Macaca fascicularis: one gene and its partner. The protein of the gene in region 1 interacts with the protein of each later gene in a biochemical or structural test. Links are inferred from orthologs where the notes say so. Each region holds a gene or a part of one and is shown on either strand. Other genes may lie near its edges.

Region 1 (3,809 bases):
CTGAGTTCCTTGAAGGCAGAATGTATCCTATACCTCTTATATCTCAGGGCCTAGTACTGTGTGTGATGAGTAGATGCTCAATAAATGGTGCAGTGAGAGCAGGAGGGCCTGAATAAGTGGGAGTATTGGGGTGCTGATAAGCCAGGGTTTTGCATCATCCAATGACTGGCTGGAATGGAATATGAGGTCCTACTCCAGGCTCCAGCTGTAAGGGTGGTTGGCCAGTGGGTGGGGGCTCTTGGGACTTCTCCAGGCCTCACCCGCCTCTCTGGTCCCCCAGCAAGCCCCCTCTCCGGAGGAGGAGTTCCAGTTTCTGCGCTGCCAGCAATGCCAGGCTGAAGCCAAGTGCCCGAAGCTGCTGCCTTGTCTGCACACGCTGTGCTCAGGATGCCTGGAGGAGTCGGGCATGCAGTGCCCCATCTGCCAGGCGCCCTGGCCCCTAGGTGCAGACACGCCTGCCCTGGATAACGTCTTTTTCGAGAGTCTGCAACGGCGCCTGTCGGTGTACCGGCAGATTGTGGATGCACAGGCTGCGTGCATCCGCTGCAAAGAGTCCGCCGACTTCTGGTGCTTTGAGTGCGAGCAGCTCCTCTGCGCCAAGTGCTTCGAGGCACACCAGTGGTTCCTCAAGCACGAGGCCCGGCCCTTAGCAGAGCTGCGCAACCAGTCCGTGCGTGAGTTCCTGGATGGCACCCGCAAGACCAACAATATCTTCTGCTCCAACCCCAACCACCGCACCCCTACACTGACCAGGTGAGTGGGCTGGCACAGGGTGGGATGGTGCATCCAAGAACCAGGTAGAGGTGAGAGGAGCAAAGATCCAAAGAGTCACACAGCTGAGGACAAGGAGCTTCTGGGGCCTTGCAACTCTAAATGTGGTCTGCAGATATGCAGCATCCGTGGTGACGACCGCAATTTATGCTGCCAGTCCCCACGCAGGTGGATAGTAAGTTTCCAGTTTCCTCCTGTAATAAATAATGCTGCAGAATCATCTTTGCATTGTTATCCAGTAATTTCTTCAGGATAAATTTTTAGAAGTGCCACTGCTGGCTGTAGGGGGACAGAAATTCTACATTTGATACATGTTACCAAACTGCCCTTTAGAAAGTCTTCGAGTGAAATTTTCCATGAGCGCTGACAGAGAATCTCAGTAAGGCTGGATTCTAGGATCAGAGGCAGGTAGGTAGTTTCTGTCTGAAAAGTTGAGACCATTAACACCAGGCAGTGCTATCTGAGAGTGTCTGTATGGGAAAAAAAAATCACATCCAGTTGTAATTGTTTTTATTAAACAGATTTTAATTCAGTTTTTTAATAGGTAATACATTTGTACAGTTCACGAACAAAATTTATAAAGAGGAGAGAGAGAGTGCAGTCTTCTGTCCATCCTCAACTGTCTAATTCCCACCACTTCTCCCTCTTCCCATCCACAGGTAGTTTTGAATGTTTCTTCTGAGAGTTTCTTTATGACTATATATGCAGGTAGCAGCAGTCTTCTCAGGTCCTATTTTCCCTCTTTTAGCCAAAATGGTAGCATAACTATGTGAACTTTCAACCATCAGAAATAGATTGTTTATAGAAGGCTCTTCTTGGTTCTTAGGGATCCACTTGCAAAATGGAAGCATTTTTCCCTTGTTTTTGACAACTCAGAACTATATATGGCTAAACCACATACCTGCTAAACTACATATCTGCTAAACTGAGTGTGGTTTGTTTCCTGCTTTAGGATAAACTTCCCCCACTATCAGAATAAGCTTTCCCCTCTGACTTCTCAACAGCTGGTATCACCACATTTCTTAGCTTGTTGTAAAGGTTGAGTGGCTTTCCACTTGTTTATTGGCCATTGTGTTTCTTCATTTGTGAATAGCCTGTTTAGGTCCTTTGCCTGTTGTTGTTGTTGTTTCCTTTGAGGAATTAAGGGATTAATTAAGGAATTCAGGAACAAATTCCTCGAAGGAAAAAAATTTATGCGTTTCTTTTGCTCTTACAATTTGTGCAGTTTTAAAACTTACATATTCATTGGATTTTGATTGAAATTGCAATAAATTAGGGGAAATTGGCTTTATCTCTGGTTATATCTTTTGGATTTAAAAATTTTTTTTAATTTTTTTTTTTTTTTGAAATAGAGTCTCCCTGTATCACCCAGGCTGGAGTGCAGTGGCGCGATCTTGGCTTACTGCAACCTTCGCCTCCCGGGTTCAAGCAATTCTCCTGCCTTAGCCTCCCAAGTAGCTGGGATTACAGGTGCATACCACCATGCCTGGCTAATTTTTTGGTATTTTTAGTAGAGACAAGGTTTCACTATATTGGTCAGGCTGGTCTCCTGACCTCAGGTGATCCACCTGCGTTGGCCTCCCAAAGTTCTGGGATTACAGGCGTGAGCCACCGCACCCAGCCTTATACTAATTTCTTAATGAATTTGTAAGCTTTCATGTTTTGAACATGATAATGAAGCCATCCCACGGGATCCATGGGAGACTGGTTCAAATTCATAGATGCTCAAGTCTGTGATATAAAATGGCATAGTATTTGTATATAACCTCTACACATCCTCCTGTATGCTTTATTTTTTATTTTATTTTTATTTTTTGAGACAGGGTCTTGCTCTGTCGCCCAGGCTGGGGTGCAGTGCTGCACTCGTGGCTCACTGCAGCCTCAGTCTCCTGGGGTTCAAACAATCCTCCCACTTCAGCCTCCAGATTATATGGGACTACAGGTGTGCACCACCACGCTCAGCTAATTTTTAATTTTTTTTGTAAAGACAGGGTTTCGCCACATTGCCCAGGCTGGTCTTGAGAATTCTTGGGCTCAAGCAACAACCCTCCCACATAGGCCTCTCAAAGTGCTGGGATTACACGTGTGAGCCACTGTACCCAGTCTCTCCTTGTATACTTTAAATCATCTCTAGATTACTTATAATGCCTAATACAGTGTAAATGCTATGTAAAGAGTTGTTTTACTATATTTTTGAATTTGTATTATTTTTTATTGTGGTCCTTTTTTTTATTGATTTTTTTTTCCCTGAATATTTTTGATCCAAGATTTGTTGAATCCACAGGTGTGTAACCTGCAGATACTGAGGGCCAACTGTACATATAAATTGTTTAACATAGTGCCTGGCACATATTAAATACTCAATGAATGTTAAAATTCTATTATAATTTCTCTGCTCTAGAACAGTTTGAAGAATATAAGAAATTTAAGCTTATAAAAGTTTTTTGAAAAACCATCTTGGAACTGGTGCTTTTTTATAGTAGATTTTTGAGAACTTTTCCCATTTTTACCATGGAATTAGTCTGTTCTGGTTCTTGTGTCAGATTTTTGGAAAATTTTCCAGTTCATCCTGAGTTATCTTTCATAATTTAAAAATCTCAGCCAGGTGCGGTGGCTCACGCCTGTAATCCCAGCACTTTGGGAGGCCGAGGTGGACAGATCACGAGGTCAGGAGATTGAGACCAAAGTGGCTAATACGGTGAAACCCCATCTCTACTAAAAATACAAAAAATTAGCCAGGCATCGTGGCGGGTGCCTGTAGTCCCAGCTACTCGGGAGGCTGAGGCAGAAGAATGGACTGAACCCAGGAGGCAGAGCTTGCAGTGAGCCGAGATCGTGCCACTGCACTCCATCCTGGGCGACAGAGAGACTCCGTCTCAAAAAAAAAAAAAAAAATCCTCTATGTCTGTAACTGTACCCCCTTTTTTTATTTCTGATGTTGTATATTTGTGGTTTAGTGGTCTTTTCAAAGTACTGTACTTTTAGTCTTTCCTGAGATTGCTTACTGATTTTAATATTTTCCTTCTTTCTGTTTGGTC
Region 2 (4,321 bases), on another chromosome or scaffold:
TACTGTACGGTGGCCGGGCGAAGTGGCTCACACCTGTAATCCCAGTACTTTGGGAGGCCAAGGAGGGTGGATCTCCTGAGGTCAGGAGTTCGAGACTGGCCTGGCCAACATGATGGAACCCCGTCTCTACTAAAAATACAAAGAAAATTAACCGGGTGTGGTGGCAGGCGCCTCTAATCCCAGCTACTCGGGAGGCTGAGGCAGGAGAATCACGAGAATCCAGGTTGGAGGTTGGAGATTGCAGTGAGCCGAGATCGCGCCACTGCACTCCAGCCAGCGCGACAAGAGCGAAACTCCATCTCAAAACAAACAGAAACTCAGTGTAAGAAAACAATGCAACCCAAGGCATTTGGGGTGACCTTCACATTGCCTGGGGGTGCCGAGGGACCAGAGATGCTGGCCATGGACTAAGGTCTGGGTATTCTCAGGCAGCAGGGACAAGGTGGGATTTTTTCCTGGTTGCTAAACCCACGTCAAAGTCCAGCTCAGGGACTGGAGCTCAAGAAACCCACCACCCATTCTCCAGTCCGACCGGGGACCTGCATGCACCTGTGCCGTGCTGCCCTGAGTCCTCCAATCCTCCACACTCTTCATCTGTTAGGTACACGTCTGCACCCCAGCCTGCAAAAGTTCCAGGTTCCTCTCAGGGGCAGGCACCCGCACGCCGGCCCAGGGCTTGGCACGCGGGGGCGCTGAAACAGGGCCAGGCCTGGTTTCCAGCCGATCGTCATAGTCCCCAGGCCCAGCAACCTTCCTCACAAAGGCATCGTTAAGAGGCGGGGAAACAAGAGCCAGGAGAGGGGCGCGGAACGGCGGGCGGGACGAACTACCAGCTCCGCGTCCCGGCCAGCTGCGTCGAACCAGGGGCACGGCAGCTGGTGTGCGGTTCGAAAACTAGGAATGGGAAGGTTCGGGGCCCGCTCGGCTCCGGAGGCAGTCGGCGGGCAGTCGCTGGCGGCGTTGGGACAGTCAGTCGCAGCCGGGTACAGGAGCCCGGTCGGCCCTGAGACCGCGACTCCCGGAAGGCCTTGCGGGCGGGGCCGCTCCCGCGCCGTCTCTTGCCGGAAGGTGCGAATTAGGGCGCTCGATTGTGGGCGGGGGCGGAAAGAGGCGCGCTTTAAAGTGGTAACAGATGGTTTTCTTATCCAATAGGATTTAAAAATTTGTCCTTACCCGGCCAACCGCGGAAGTAGGGTAGGCGGGCGGCCAATGGGCACACGGCGGGGGGCGGAGCCGAGGCCTCCGAAGCGGAAGTGGGTTGCTGTTGAGGCGGCGGCATCTTTCTCGAGGGGCTCTCCTGGGCGGCTGGAGAAGCAGCTTCTTCTCTCGAGTGCGACGGCGGCGGCGCCTGCGGACTTAACTAGCTCCAGGTTAGGCTGGGCTTTGCGGGGAAGCAGCGGCAAATCAGGGCCTGTGCAGATGCGAGGTTTAGGCGGCTTCGCGGCCTACAGAGGCCTCGGCCCGCGCGGCTCCACCCGGCCGAGACTCCGCAGCCCGGGACCTCGAGCCAGCTCTGGCCGCTCGCACCGCCTTCCGCGCGGGCGCACCTAACCCGGCTTGGCGCGGGCGACAGAAGTTAAGAGGCCTGCGTCTGGGTCTCGGCTCACCCTGGCGGGCCGCGGCCATGGGGCTTAGTCCATAGCTTAGGAAGGGAAACTGAGGCTCTGGGAAGGGCAGGAACGCCCCCAAGGTCACTCGGAGAGTCGGGCAGGGTGTGCTGTTAGGGGGGAGACCTGGGCAGGGTTTTTGTTCCCCGCTGACGACGTCTCCTTTGTGTGTTCGTGCAGCCGCCCCGCCATCGTGGGGCCTGCGAGTTTGCCCGGGTGCCCGGGTGCCCGGGCCGCATGGCGGGGCCTTTTGTAGGTCGGGAGGATCTGAGTACGGGTGCGGGACTGACAGTGTGGGGCGCCGAGGTCGCAGTCTAAAACTTGGTAGGGCCTCGACTTCCGGACGCGCTTCCGGGCCCCGGCTGATGGTTGGTGGAACGTGTGACTGTGAGGCTTGCGGCCCAGCCCTGCACCGCTCGGGCCCTTCACCCTCTGGCGCGCCTGTAGGCTGGCGTATGAAGATTCTCAAGACCCGAAAAAGAGTTGCTAGTAAACACCGCTTTTCCGCCTTTGATCCATCGAGGAAACAGGGAAAAGGATAGAGCTTGGGCAAGCAGTTTTGGTAGGGATTTCAGCTTTTGTCTTTCACTTGTCGGTTCCCATAGACGTTCACAGTCTTAATAACTTTTGTTCTGTTTCTGCACGAAGTTCTTGAGCCAGACGTTGGGTCTCAGCTCTGGAATCTGACTTACAGTGTCCAAGTGGTTGGGGAGACTGAGGTCCAGAAAAGTGAGGTAGTCTGCCCAAGGTCACAAAGCCGGCTCTTTGGCAGCAGATGAGATTAAGTCTTAACTGCAGGATTAGGCTTTTGAATTCGGTGACCAGGAGTTTTGGGACCGCTGACAGTAAAAGAGACATTGAAGGGAATGTTTTGTTGTTTTCTTGGTGTTTTACTTGTTAATGGACAAGGATACATTGGGTTCAGTTTTACTGTGAGTTTGAGATGAAATAGGGACATTTGAGTAGCAAGCTGTGTTGCTGGCTTTTGTATTGCCTGAATTTGAGCTTCCAAAAATCTTACTTTAATACATCGTTTATTGATCTTAAATTACTACCTTTGTAAGGAGCTTTTGTAAACATTGTTTTTCTAATCTTCATGAAATCTTAATGCCATACGTAAACTATTTTTATAGAATGTATACACATCTGTGCTTTGTACATAAAATGAGTAAGATATTTCACTCTCCTCAAGATCGAAGTAGCATATTTTTGAGGTGTCCTGTATGCCAAACTTACAGCAGTCAACAGTCGTGGTGCTGGCCCTCCTGTAGCTGGGTGAGGATGGAGGGAATAAGAGATACCTCATTTTATTGTGCTTTGCACATATTGCCTTTTTTGCAAGGTGAAGGTTTATAGCAAGTATTCGTCGAGCAAGTCTGTAAGTGCCAGCCATTTTTCCAACAGCATGTGCTCACTTCGTGTCTCTTGTGTCAAGTTTTGGTAATTCACAATATTTCAAACATTTTTTTTTTTTGAGATGGAATCTCAGTCACCCAGGATGGAGTGCAATGGCATGTTCTCGGCCTCACTGTAACCTCTGCTGCCTGGGCTCAAGTGATTCTCCTGCCCCAGCCTCCGGAGTAGCTGGGATTACAGGCACATACTACCACACTCAGCTAATTTTTGTATTTTTAGTGGAGACGGGATTTCACCATGTTGGCCAGGCTGATCTCGAACTCCTGACCTCAAGTGATCTGCCTGCCTTGGCCTTCCAAAGTGTTGGGATTACAGGCATGAACCACCATGCCCAGCCCCAAACCTTTTCATTATTGCATCTGTTACGGTGAGCTGTGGTCAGTGTTTTGGGTTACCATGAATAGCACTAATATAAGATGGTGAACTTAACTGGTAAAAGTTGGGTGTCTAGTAACAGTTCCACTGACTGGCAGTTCCCAGTCTCTCTTCTCAGGCCTCTCTATTCCTTGAGACACAATATTGAAATTAGGCCAGTCAGTGACCCTACAGTGTCCAGACAAAAGGAACAGTCAATTGAATCTCTCTTACTTTAAATCAAGTTAAGAAATGATTAACCTTAGTGAGAAAGGCATATCAAAAGTTGAGATAGGCCAAAAGCTAGGCCTCTTGTGCTGAACAACAGTTGGCCAAGTTGTGAATGCAAAGGAAGAGTTCTTGAAATTAAAATGCTACCCCAGTGAACGCATGAATGATTAGCCAAACAGCCTTATTGCTGATAGGGAGAAAGTTTTAGTGGTCTGGATAGATCAAACCATCCGTGACATTCCCTTAAGCGAAAGCCTAATCCAGATTTAAGGCCCTAACTCTCTTCAGTTCTGTGAAGAGTGAGAAAGGTGAGGAAGCTGCAGAAGAAAAGTTTGAAACTGGCAGAGGTTGGTTCATGAGGTTTAAGGAAGGAAGCCGCCTCTGTAATGTGAAAGTGTAAGGTTGAGGCAGTAAGCATTGATGTAGAAGCTGCAGCAAGTTATGCAGAATATATAGCTAAAATAATTGATGAAGGTGGCCACACTGAACAACAGACTTTCAATGTAAATGAAACAGCCTTATATGGAAAAAAAAAATACTATCTAGGACTTTCATAGCCAGAGAAAGATCAATGCCTGGCTTCAAAGGACAGGCTGATTCTCTTGTTAGGGGCTAATGTGACCCGTGACTAAATTGTAACCAGTGCTCATTTACCATTCTGAAAATCCTAGGGCCCTTAAGAATTATGCAGAAATCTACTGTGTGCTGATCGG

What was found.
Region 2: of the proteins of PML (region 1) and RNF4, one has a biochemical effect on the other in vitro, tested with the Homo sapiens proteins (3 studies listed by BioGRID, with this or other methods). The link is inferred for Macaca fascicularis from reciprocal best matches to the Homo sapiens genes PML and RNF4.

Annotation. Positions count from the first base shown.
Region 1 is NC_088381.1:50,922,043-50,925,851, forward strand, and holds part of PML (protein PML), read left to right. Parts: intron 1-280; coding exon 281-753; intron 754-3,809.
Region 2 is NC_088379.1:2,631,145-2,635,465, forward strand, and holds the start of RNF4 (E3 ubiquitin-protein ligase RNF4), read left to right. Parts: upstream 1-1,244; 5' UTR 1,245-1,370; intron 1,371-4,321. UniProt on the Homo sapiens protein: E3 ubiquitin-protein ligase which binds polysumoylated chains covalently attached to proteins and mediates 'Lys-6'-, 'Lys-11'-, 'Lys-48'- and 'Lys-63'-linked polyubiquitination of those substrates and their subsequent targeting to the proteasome for degradation.